Linked DNA regions of Lonchura striata. The main gene of each other region encodes a partner of the protein of the gene in region 2 in a complex. Links are inferred from orthologs where the notes say so. Each region holds a gene or a part of one and is shown on either strand. Other genes may lie near its edges.

What was found.
Region 1: the proteins of KPNB1 (region 2) and PTHLH are in contact, whole or in part, in a crystal structure (PDB 1M5N), measured with the Homo sapiens proteins. The link is inferred for Lonchura striata from reciprocal best matches to the Homo sapiens genes KPNB1 and PTHLH. Residues at the interface, in NP_002256.2 of Homo sapiens: Val55, Tyr104, Pro106, Gln111, Glu152, Tyr156, Gln159, Asn196, Leu199, Asn200, Gln239, Glu274, Gln278, Glu281, Asp288, Ile295, Ser298, Glu299, Asp339, Asp340, Trp342, Val350, Met353, Glu395, Trp430, Arg434, Glu437, Asn469, Trp472; in NP_945316.1 of Homo sapiens: Tyr103, Thr105, Gln106, Glu107, Thr108, Asn109, Lys110, Val111, Glu112, Thr113, Tyr114, Lys120, Thr121, Pro122, Gly123, Lys124, Lys125, Lys126, Lys127, Lys129.

Annotation. Positions count from the first base shown.
Region 1 is NC_134607.1:11,158,820-11,162,720, forward strand, and holds the start of PTHLH (parathyroid hormone-related protein), read right to left. Parts: upstream 2,533-3,901; 5' UTR 2,516-2,532; coding exon 2,415-2,515; intron 1-2,414. UniProt on the Homo sapiens protein: Neuroendocrine peptide which is a critical regulator of cellular and organ growth, development, migration, differentiation and survival and of epithelial calcium ion transport.
Region 2 is NC_134627.1:8,499,511-8,503,411, forward strand, and holds the start of KPNB1 (importin subunit beta-1), read right to left. Parts: upstream 2,344-3,901; 5' UTR 2,089-2,343; coding exon 2,049-2,088; intron 1,810-2,048; coding exon 1,751-1,809; intron 1-1,750.

The DNA.
Region 1 (3,901 bases), on a different chromosome or scaffold from region 2:
CGTATACATTTGAGGCTGAGTGTCTCATCACGGGGAGAGCAGCAGAAATCCATGACTTGTGACTACTTCCAGATAAGCTGCTCTTTTCATGCACATTCCTCTTTTTTTTTTTCCCCTCGAGAGATCTAGCATTTTTAAAAGGCAACATTCTTCAAGCTACCACTTTCTATCTCAGATAGCTGCTCTTATTTAGCTGTTATTATCCTTGACTGTTCATGTTGGGTCTGATCCTAAATTCAGGAAAATAACTGAGGAGGATTCAGTGAGCTCTCTGTATTTTGCAAAACTGAGTGCCCTTGCCACTGACTCCAAAGGGAGGGAAATCTGCTCAACCTATCTCAGGCTTCAGAAAAATATTTTGAACAGATCTAGGGACATGATTCTGTGATATCTGGAAATAATGATAAAAATATGTAATTTCATTTTGAGGCATTACTGATTTCTCAGAAGTTCTTTAGCAGCTATAGCACTCCTATAACAAATAACATGTCTGGAAACATTTTCTTGGGAAAATTTGCTATTGCTTTCCATGAGATATTTGCCTCAGCGAAGTCTGTAGAACCAGGCCTATGTAATTTTGATTATTTGTGCATGTCTATAATAATGCGCTTCACTATTTTCATCCATTACTGTCTTAAGTTTTTGACTGAGAAAAAAAATAATCTCAATGCCTAAATGAGTTATTAGCTATTAACTCTAGGAATAGCTTGTGGTAATATTAAAACAGGACACGTGTTTGAGTGTGGTGTCTGTGTTTGTGCTATGCCCACAAACAAAACTACATGAATGCCACTAACTGACAGCTGACTGGTTTCCTGTGTGTGTTTTACATGCCAGAGCAAAGAGGGAGCTGAGAAATGTGTTTTTCTGGTTAGCTTACACTTTTCTTCCCTCTGTCAGGACAGAATGGGGAAGCTGGGAAGACCTCTAATCCTGACCTTTAAAACAAGTGTTAGAACTACGCTAACTTCAAAAAGAGAGTATTTCTCTGCAAATCTGATTTTTTTTTAACAACAAAATTTGGCTTAGATCCAGTTTAGAGTTTCCTAGCCAAGAAAATAGCAGCATCTAATTGCACTTCAACTATTTTCTTTTTTTTTATTTATTGTTGAAACTGAAATGTGATTCCTCTGTATAACATGGTCCCAAAAGAAAGAAATAGCCCAAGAACAGCTTTCAGGAGTACAAAACACTTAAACGTTAATGGACTGAGAATAATACTGTAAAATTATCAGCAATAACATGTTCTACACAATTTGCTGTAGGAGATTTGTAATAGTTCTCTGCCTCGTGCCAAACTTTAGGTGTGTCTGTAGTTGCTTCACCTGGGGCTTTTTTTTTTTTAATTTTGGATGTTTTGGGGTATTATTATTATTATTATTATTATTATTATATAAATTTTTATTTTTTAATTTTAATTTTAATTTTAATTTTAATTCTTATTTTAAATTTATTTTTATTTTTTTTTATTTTTATTTTCATTTTCATTTTTATTTTTATGTGTGTGGCCTAACTGGCAGAGGAAATGCTATTTGGAGGTCTTGTCCTTATGTATGTAGTAAAACACTTACAAGGAAACCCATCTGAAATTGTTTGCTGTGTCATGTTTCCCTGTAAGTTATGATCGAATTTTCCAGCACTCTTGCTCCAGCTTCTCTTCCTTCAGAGCTGAATAACAATACAGCCCTCCCCAGTGTGACTGAGGTGTTTCTTCCTGAGAAAATCTGATGCAAGTCCAGAGAAAGCCAGTGAGTTGGAAGTGTGAGACAGCTGCTCCTGCATCAGCAGAGGCTTCTGCACTTTGTGAATGGGTGTTACTATAAGCCAGGCTGATTATTTGGGAAGAAGCAAAAAGATCATTTCCTGAACAGACTGTCTTAAGATACACTATCATTTATCAAAAATATACCTCTGCCTATAAGTAAGATACTAGACTCCCTTGGGATTTTTTCCCCTGAAGTGGCAGAAATCCAAAGAAATTGTTCAGTACTTCAGTGTCATGATGGCTCTCACTTCTGCGTGTTTCCTCTACTTCTATCAACATTGGCTTCATGCCAGAGCCGAGAAATGTCTGTAAGTTATTGTAACACACAGCGTTTGGATAAACCGGGATGCTCCCTGCGAGGGTCCCGGGCAACTGCACAACAATCACCCAGGCGTGTCGGAAGAGAAGCCCCTCAGTTTTCACATCGCCTCCCCAGAACTTTGCAAGGTCAGAAAGCTGTAAAGCGCTCTGTCTCTGCCTCTCCTGGCTCTCAGGCAGCGCCAGTGAGCACCTGGGGCAGGTAACCCGGGCCGGCCCCGCCGGAGCCGGCAGCGCTGCGGAGCCTCCCGGGCTGCCTTCCTCCCTCCCTGCCGCCGCAGCGAGGACGAATAAAGGGAAAGAAGAAAAGAAAAGAAAAAGAGAAACTCACAGTCTGCGGCTGATCCCCTCTACTGATCTCCCGTAGGAGGGCACGGAATAACTCAGCAGGAACACTGCAAAACTCCACTGCTGGAAGAGTTTAGCGAACATTGTACCCTCCGGGACTTAAAACCTGCAAGGAAAAAGAGGTCAGTCCGGAGGGACAGATGCGCCAGCGCCGTCCTCAAGGAGTCCCCCTTCAGCTCTACCAGCTCCGAGGCTCTGAAGGAAAAACAAACTTTCTGAACTCTCGGCTCACTCCTTCCAAACTTCTCTCCGTCTCTCTCCCTTCCTTGCTTGTCTGCCTCTCCCTCCCTCTTTCCCTCCCTCCCTCCCTCTCTCTGTCTCTCGCCGTCCGCAGGCAAGATCTCTCTCAGTATTAGCTCAAAAAGCATCTAGCTCTCATTTCAACAGCGTTGGAGCGGGGCTCAGTGAGTTCCCCGAGCCCTGTTTAGTTCTAGTCCGCTAAGCCACTCTCTCAGGGCTTTATATTACATCAGAAAGTCTTCTTTGCAGATAAGGAAAGATTCCCTAAAGTCAGCTTAGCTGATCGCTTCTCTGTAAACTCGCGCGGACACACAAACACACATAGACTGAGGCGGAGGGGGAATGCATCTCCACATCTGTCTTTCAGTATACCTCTACAAAAAAAAAAGGGTCAGGTTCACGTCCCCAGCTGGCAGAAAGTTTTGGTCTCCAACAGTGATAAGGCGATAGACAAGCGGTGACGAGAGAAACAAGCAAAGGTCGCTGCCTATCTGGAGAGCCCGAGATGCCTGGGAGGAGCGGTAGATCGGGAGGCTCAGGGGCTGGGAAGCATGCTTGGCTCGGCAGGTTGGACTGGGCTGCAGCCTGGGATGTTCACACGCTCCAGAGCAGCCTCTGGGAGACCTGCGGGAGGACGGAGGGTTTTGCAAAGAGATGGCGCCCTAGGAACATGTGCGGAGAGAGCGAGAGCCAGGGCAGGATACCCACAGCCAAAACGGAGACTGCGAATCAGCGCTTCCCAGGCCCGCAATCAAAAAGGAGAGAAGAAAGGGAAAGACCCGACAGCACATGCATTCAGCAGACCCCAAGGATTCCGACCAAGCTCTCCGCATGTTCTGCAGCCGCACTCCTCTCTCGCTCACCTTCCAGCTCTCCCTTTTTGTGTTTACCCCCGGGTCAGCGCCTCCCCTGCCGCGGGGATTCCTCCATCGCTGGGAGCACTTTTCAGTCAAGTCCCAAAGCGCTGCCCGGGACTGCTGCCGCCTTTCCCTGCACGCACCTACCGTAGTTGGTCGCCGTTCCCCTATTAGCCGGAGGGTCGGTTCCTAATGATGCTAATTGTACGCTAGTGAAGGGAGGGGGGGAGCTCAGGGGGAGGGCCGGGGGAAGGACTCGCGGTCTATGAACACAAGCGCTCTTGGCCAAAAAAGTAAACTAGTGGAAAGTTTTCTCCTCCTCTCCCTTTTTCGCCTTCCACTTCGCCCTCCTTCAGCCTGGCCAGGGCCCTGC
Region 2 (3,901 bases):
CCTCTCACGGAGCAAAGTAAAAATGAAAGCTTGGAGTAATCCCACAAGTCTGAGAGAAATGAAACCTTGGAAAATCCACACTTCCTCTTCCACAGGAGAAATGAAACCCTGCAAAATCCACACTTCCTCTCCCACAGGAGAAATGAAACCCTGCAAAATCCACACTTCCTCTCCCACAGGAGAAATGAAACCCTGGAAAATCCACATTTCCTTTTCCACAGGAGAGGAGAAATGAAACCTTGGAAAATCCACATTTCCTCTTCCACAAGAGAGGAGAAACTTTGGAAAATCCAGGTTTCTTCTCCCACAAGAGAAATGAAACCTTGGAAAATCCACATTTCCTCTTCCACAGGAAAGGAGAAATGAAACCTTGGAAAATCCACATTTCCTCTTCCACAAGAGAGGAGAAACTTTGGAAAATCCAGATTTCTTCTCCCACAAGAGAAATGAAACCTTGGAAAATCCACATTTCCCCAGCTCTTCCCAACACCAGCAGATCAGGACCACGAGCAGCTCCTGCTCATCACCCCAAAATCCCTCAGAGCTCAGCCCTGCAGCTCCAGGCACAGCTTGGGGTGGTACTGAGCCCCCCAAAAACACCAACCCAGAGGATTCTCCCCTCCAAACGGAGAGGTCCAGCATCAACCCCGAGGGATCCTCACCCTCCTTCCACCAGCACCACAAACACAGAACCTCCGTGGCTTCTTCCCCAGCAGGCCCGGGGAGCAGAGGAGGAGCTGGGGGGTGACCGGTGCCGGTTTTTGGGGTGCCAACGGGGCTGTGACAAGGACAGCACCGGGACACCGGGACTCGGCACCCCCCAGTGCTCCCCATCCCTGCGGGGAGCAGCCAGAGCTGCAGCCCCAGAGCTTGACTAAGCAAAATCCCTTCTGAAGCAGCAGCAGCCCCAAGCCCCCGCTCCGGCCCCGCCATCGCACCCGGGGATTTTGGGGCTTTTTGTTCCCCCTTCCGTTGCTTTTTTCTGACTTCTTTTCCTGCTCGGGTTTAAGGTCAGCGCGGGTACAACTCCCCCTGCCCAGCCGAGCCTCCCTCCCCCACCACACATCCCTGAGCCCCTCCCCGGCTCCCGGAGCTGCGATCCCGCCCGGGCCCGGCTCTCCGGGGGATGCGGGGCTCCCGGTGCACCGGGCAGCAGGACCGCACAGGGCTCCCGAGGACACCGAGACTGGGCAGCAGGGCTGGGCGGGGGTCCCACAGGCAGCAGCACCGGCCAGCAGCACCGGCCAGCGGGGCTGGGCAGGGATCCCGCGGACAGCACAGCGGGGAGAGCGCCCCGGAGGAGCGGGCGCTACAACCGGCCGGGCGTCCCGCGGACGCCGGCACCGGGAGGTCGGGCTGGGCGGGGGTGCGGCGGGCACCAGGACGGTCCGGGGGTGCCGCGGGTGCTGGAGGCGGCCGCTGGGGCCGTCCGGGGGTCCCTGCGGGCGGCCGGGCTTTAGGACCGGGCGGCGCCCGGGGCCGCGATGGCCGCGGCGGCCGCACATGGCCCGCGGCCGCTCCCGCACCGGCCCCGCCCCCCGGCCCGGCGCCGCGCGCTGATTGGCCGCCGGGCCCGCAAGCCGCGCCGTGATTGGCCCGCGCGGCCGCCGGGCGCGGGCAGGGGCGGCAGCGGCCATGGCGGCCGGGCCGGGCCGGGCCGAGCCGGGCGGGGCCGCGGAGCGCTCGGGGCAGCGCCGGCCCCGCCGCCGCCGCCGGCTCCGCCGCCGCCGGGACCGCCCCGAGCGCTCACCAGGTTCTCGATGGCCGCCTGCTCCAGGAACTTCTGCGCCGCCTCGAGCTCCGAGCAGTCTGCGGAGGGGGGAAACCGGCGTCACCCGCGGCCCAACCGCCCGCGCCCTCAGGGCTCCCGGCGCGCTCCTCACCGTGCCCGGGAGCCTCCCCGCCGCTCCGGTTCCCGCCCGCCTCACGGCTTCCCCCGCCGCCCACGCCCTCCCCGCGGCTGCGGGCGCCGCCTCGGCCGCCCCGCGGCTTGCGCGGCCCCCGCCCCGCCCGGCCCCGCCGCCCTCAGCGCTCAGCCCGCGCCTCACCCGGCGAGACCGTCTTCTCCAGGATGGTGATGAGCTCCATGGCGGCGGCGTGGCGGCTCCGGCGCCGGCGGGAGGAGGAGGAGGAGGAGGAGGAGGAGGAGGGGAAGGGGGGGGGGGAAGCGGGGCGGGCCGGAGGAGGGGAGGGAGGGAGGGAGGGAGGGGAAGGGCGGAAAGCCGGGGCCTGCCCCGCGGAGGCCGGAGCGGGGCAGCAGCAGCAGCGGTTCCCGGTGCGGCTGCGGGGCGTTTGGACGGGAGAGATTCTTTTCGATTTAAACAAAAAAAAAAAAAAAATTAAAAGAGGGTGGAGAAGAAGGAAGGAAAAAAAAAAAAAGAAAAAAAAGGGAAAAAGAAAAAAAAAAAAAAAAGAAGGGGCCGCGCGCGAGCGGGGAGGCGGCGGCGCGCGCGCGCACCGGGCGGCGGAGGGATACGCCGGGAGGGGCCCCGCGCGCGCGCGCGCCCGCCCCGCGCCCGCCGCGCTGATTGGCCGGCGGGGCCCCCCCGGCCCGGCGCGCGCGCTTTCCTATTGGCCGGGCCGGCGGCGCGAGGCCATTGGAGGGGGGGGGGGGGGTGAGCGGGAGGGGGGGCGGCAAAAGGGAGGGAGCGGGGGAGGAAAGAAGGGGCGGGGCTTCCGGCGGCGCGCGCGGGGATTGGGCGGGGCCCGGACGGGACCATTGCCGCGGGGTGGGGGGGGCGGGGGGGCGCGACCACGTTGGGCCGCGCGTGGGGGGCGGCACCGGGAGCACCGGGAGCACCGGGACGGGGAGCGGGGTCACCGGCACTGCCGCCGGTTCCCGGCAATGCCCGGGGCAGGGCGGCAGCGGCACCGGAACCGGCTGGGGAGGAGCCACGTGCTCGGCGCGCGGCGGGAAGCGGAACCGGCGCCGGTTTCCCGGGACCGGGGGTGTGACCCGGTGTGTCCCGGTGTGTGCAGTCCGGCAGTGCAGAATCGCTGCGTGACGGGCATCCCGCACGAAGCGGGGTGTCCCGTGGTCGGTACCGGTGGCCGGGCGGGGCACCGGGCCGGTCAGCACCGGGGCGGGGATGGGAGCGCTCCCCGGTGCGACGGCCCCGGCAGAACCCGCCCCGCACCGGCTCCGGTGTCCGCCGAGTCCCTCGGTTCGGGCACCGCGCTCCTTGCGCATCGCGGTGTGTCCCCAAAGCGGGGTGACAACCGAGGGATGCGGGAACGGGACGGGCGGAGAGCGGCGGGACAATTAACGGGGCCGGGAGGGCGAGCGGTAATTAGTGACGCTCGCCGGAGGCGCGGGGACAAGCGGCAATTACCGGGACACCGCCCCGGGCTCGGCCCGTTCGGCATCGCCCGCTGCCGAAGGGTTCCGGGATCCCGGCCGAGGGATGCAGCAACGGGAGCCGCGGGAATTGCGGGAGGAGCGCGGCCGGGACCGGGCAGGGCTGGAGAGGGACGGGGAGGAATTCCCGCTGGGAAAGGAGCGGCGGGCACCGGGACAGCTCCGCAGGGAATGGGGGTGATCCCAAAACTGCCGCAGCTCCAGGGGTTTCGGGGTGGATTGGTTGGGGTGGATTTTGGGCGCTGGAACAGCTCCCCTTGGAATTATGGTGATCCCAAAACTCTCAGAGCTCTGGGATTTTTGGGATGGATTCGTTGGGTTGGAATTTGGATGCTGGAACAGCTCCCCATGGAATGGTTGTGATCCCAAAACTCTCAGAGCTCCAGGAGTTTTGGGATGGATTTGTTGGGTTGCATTTTGGGCAAAGATCTTCATCCAAAGGTTGGTTGAGTGCTGGGACAGCTCCCCATGGAATGGTGGTGATCCCAAAACTCTCAGAACTCCGGGAATGTTTGGGTTAGATTTTGGGTTGGATTTTGGGGT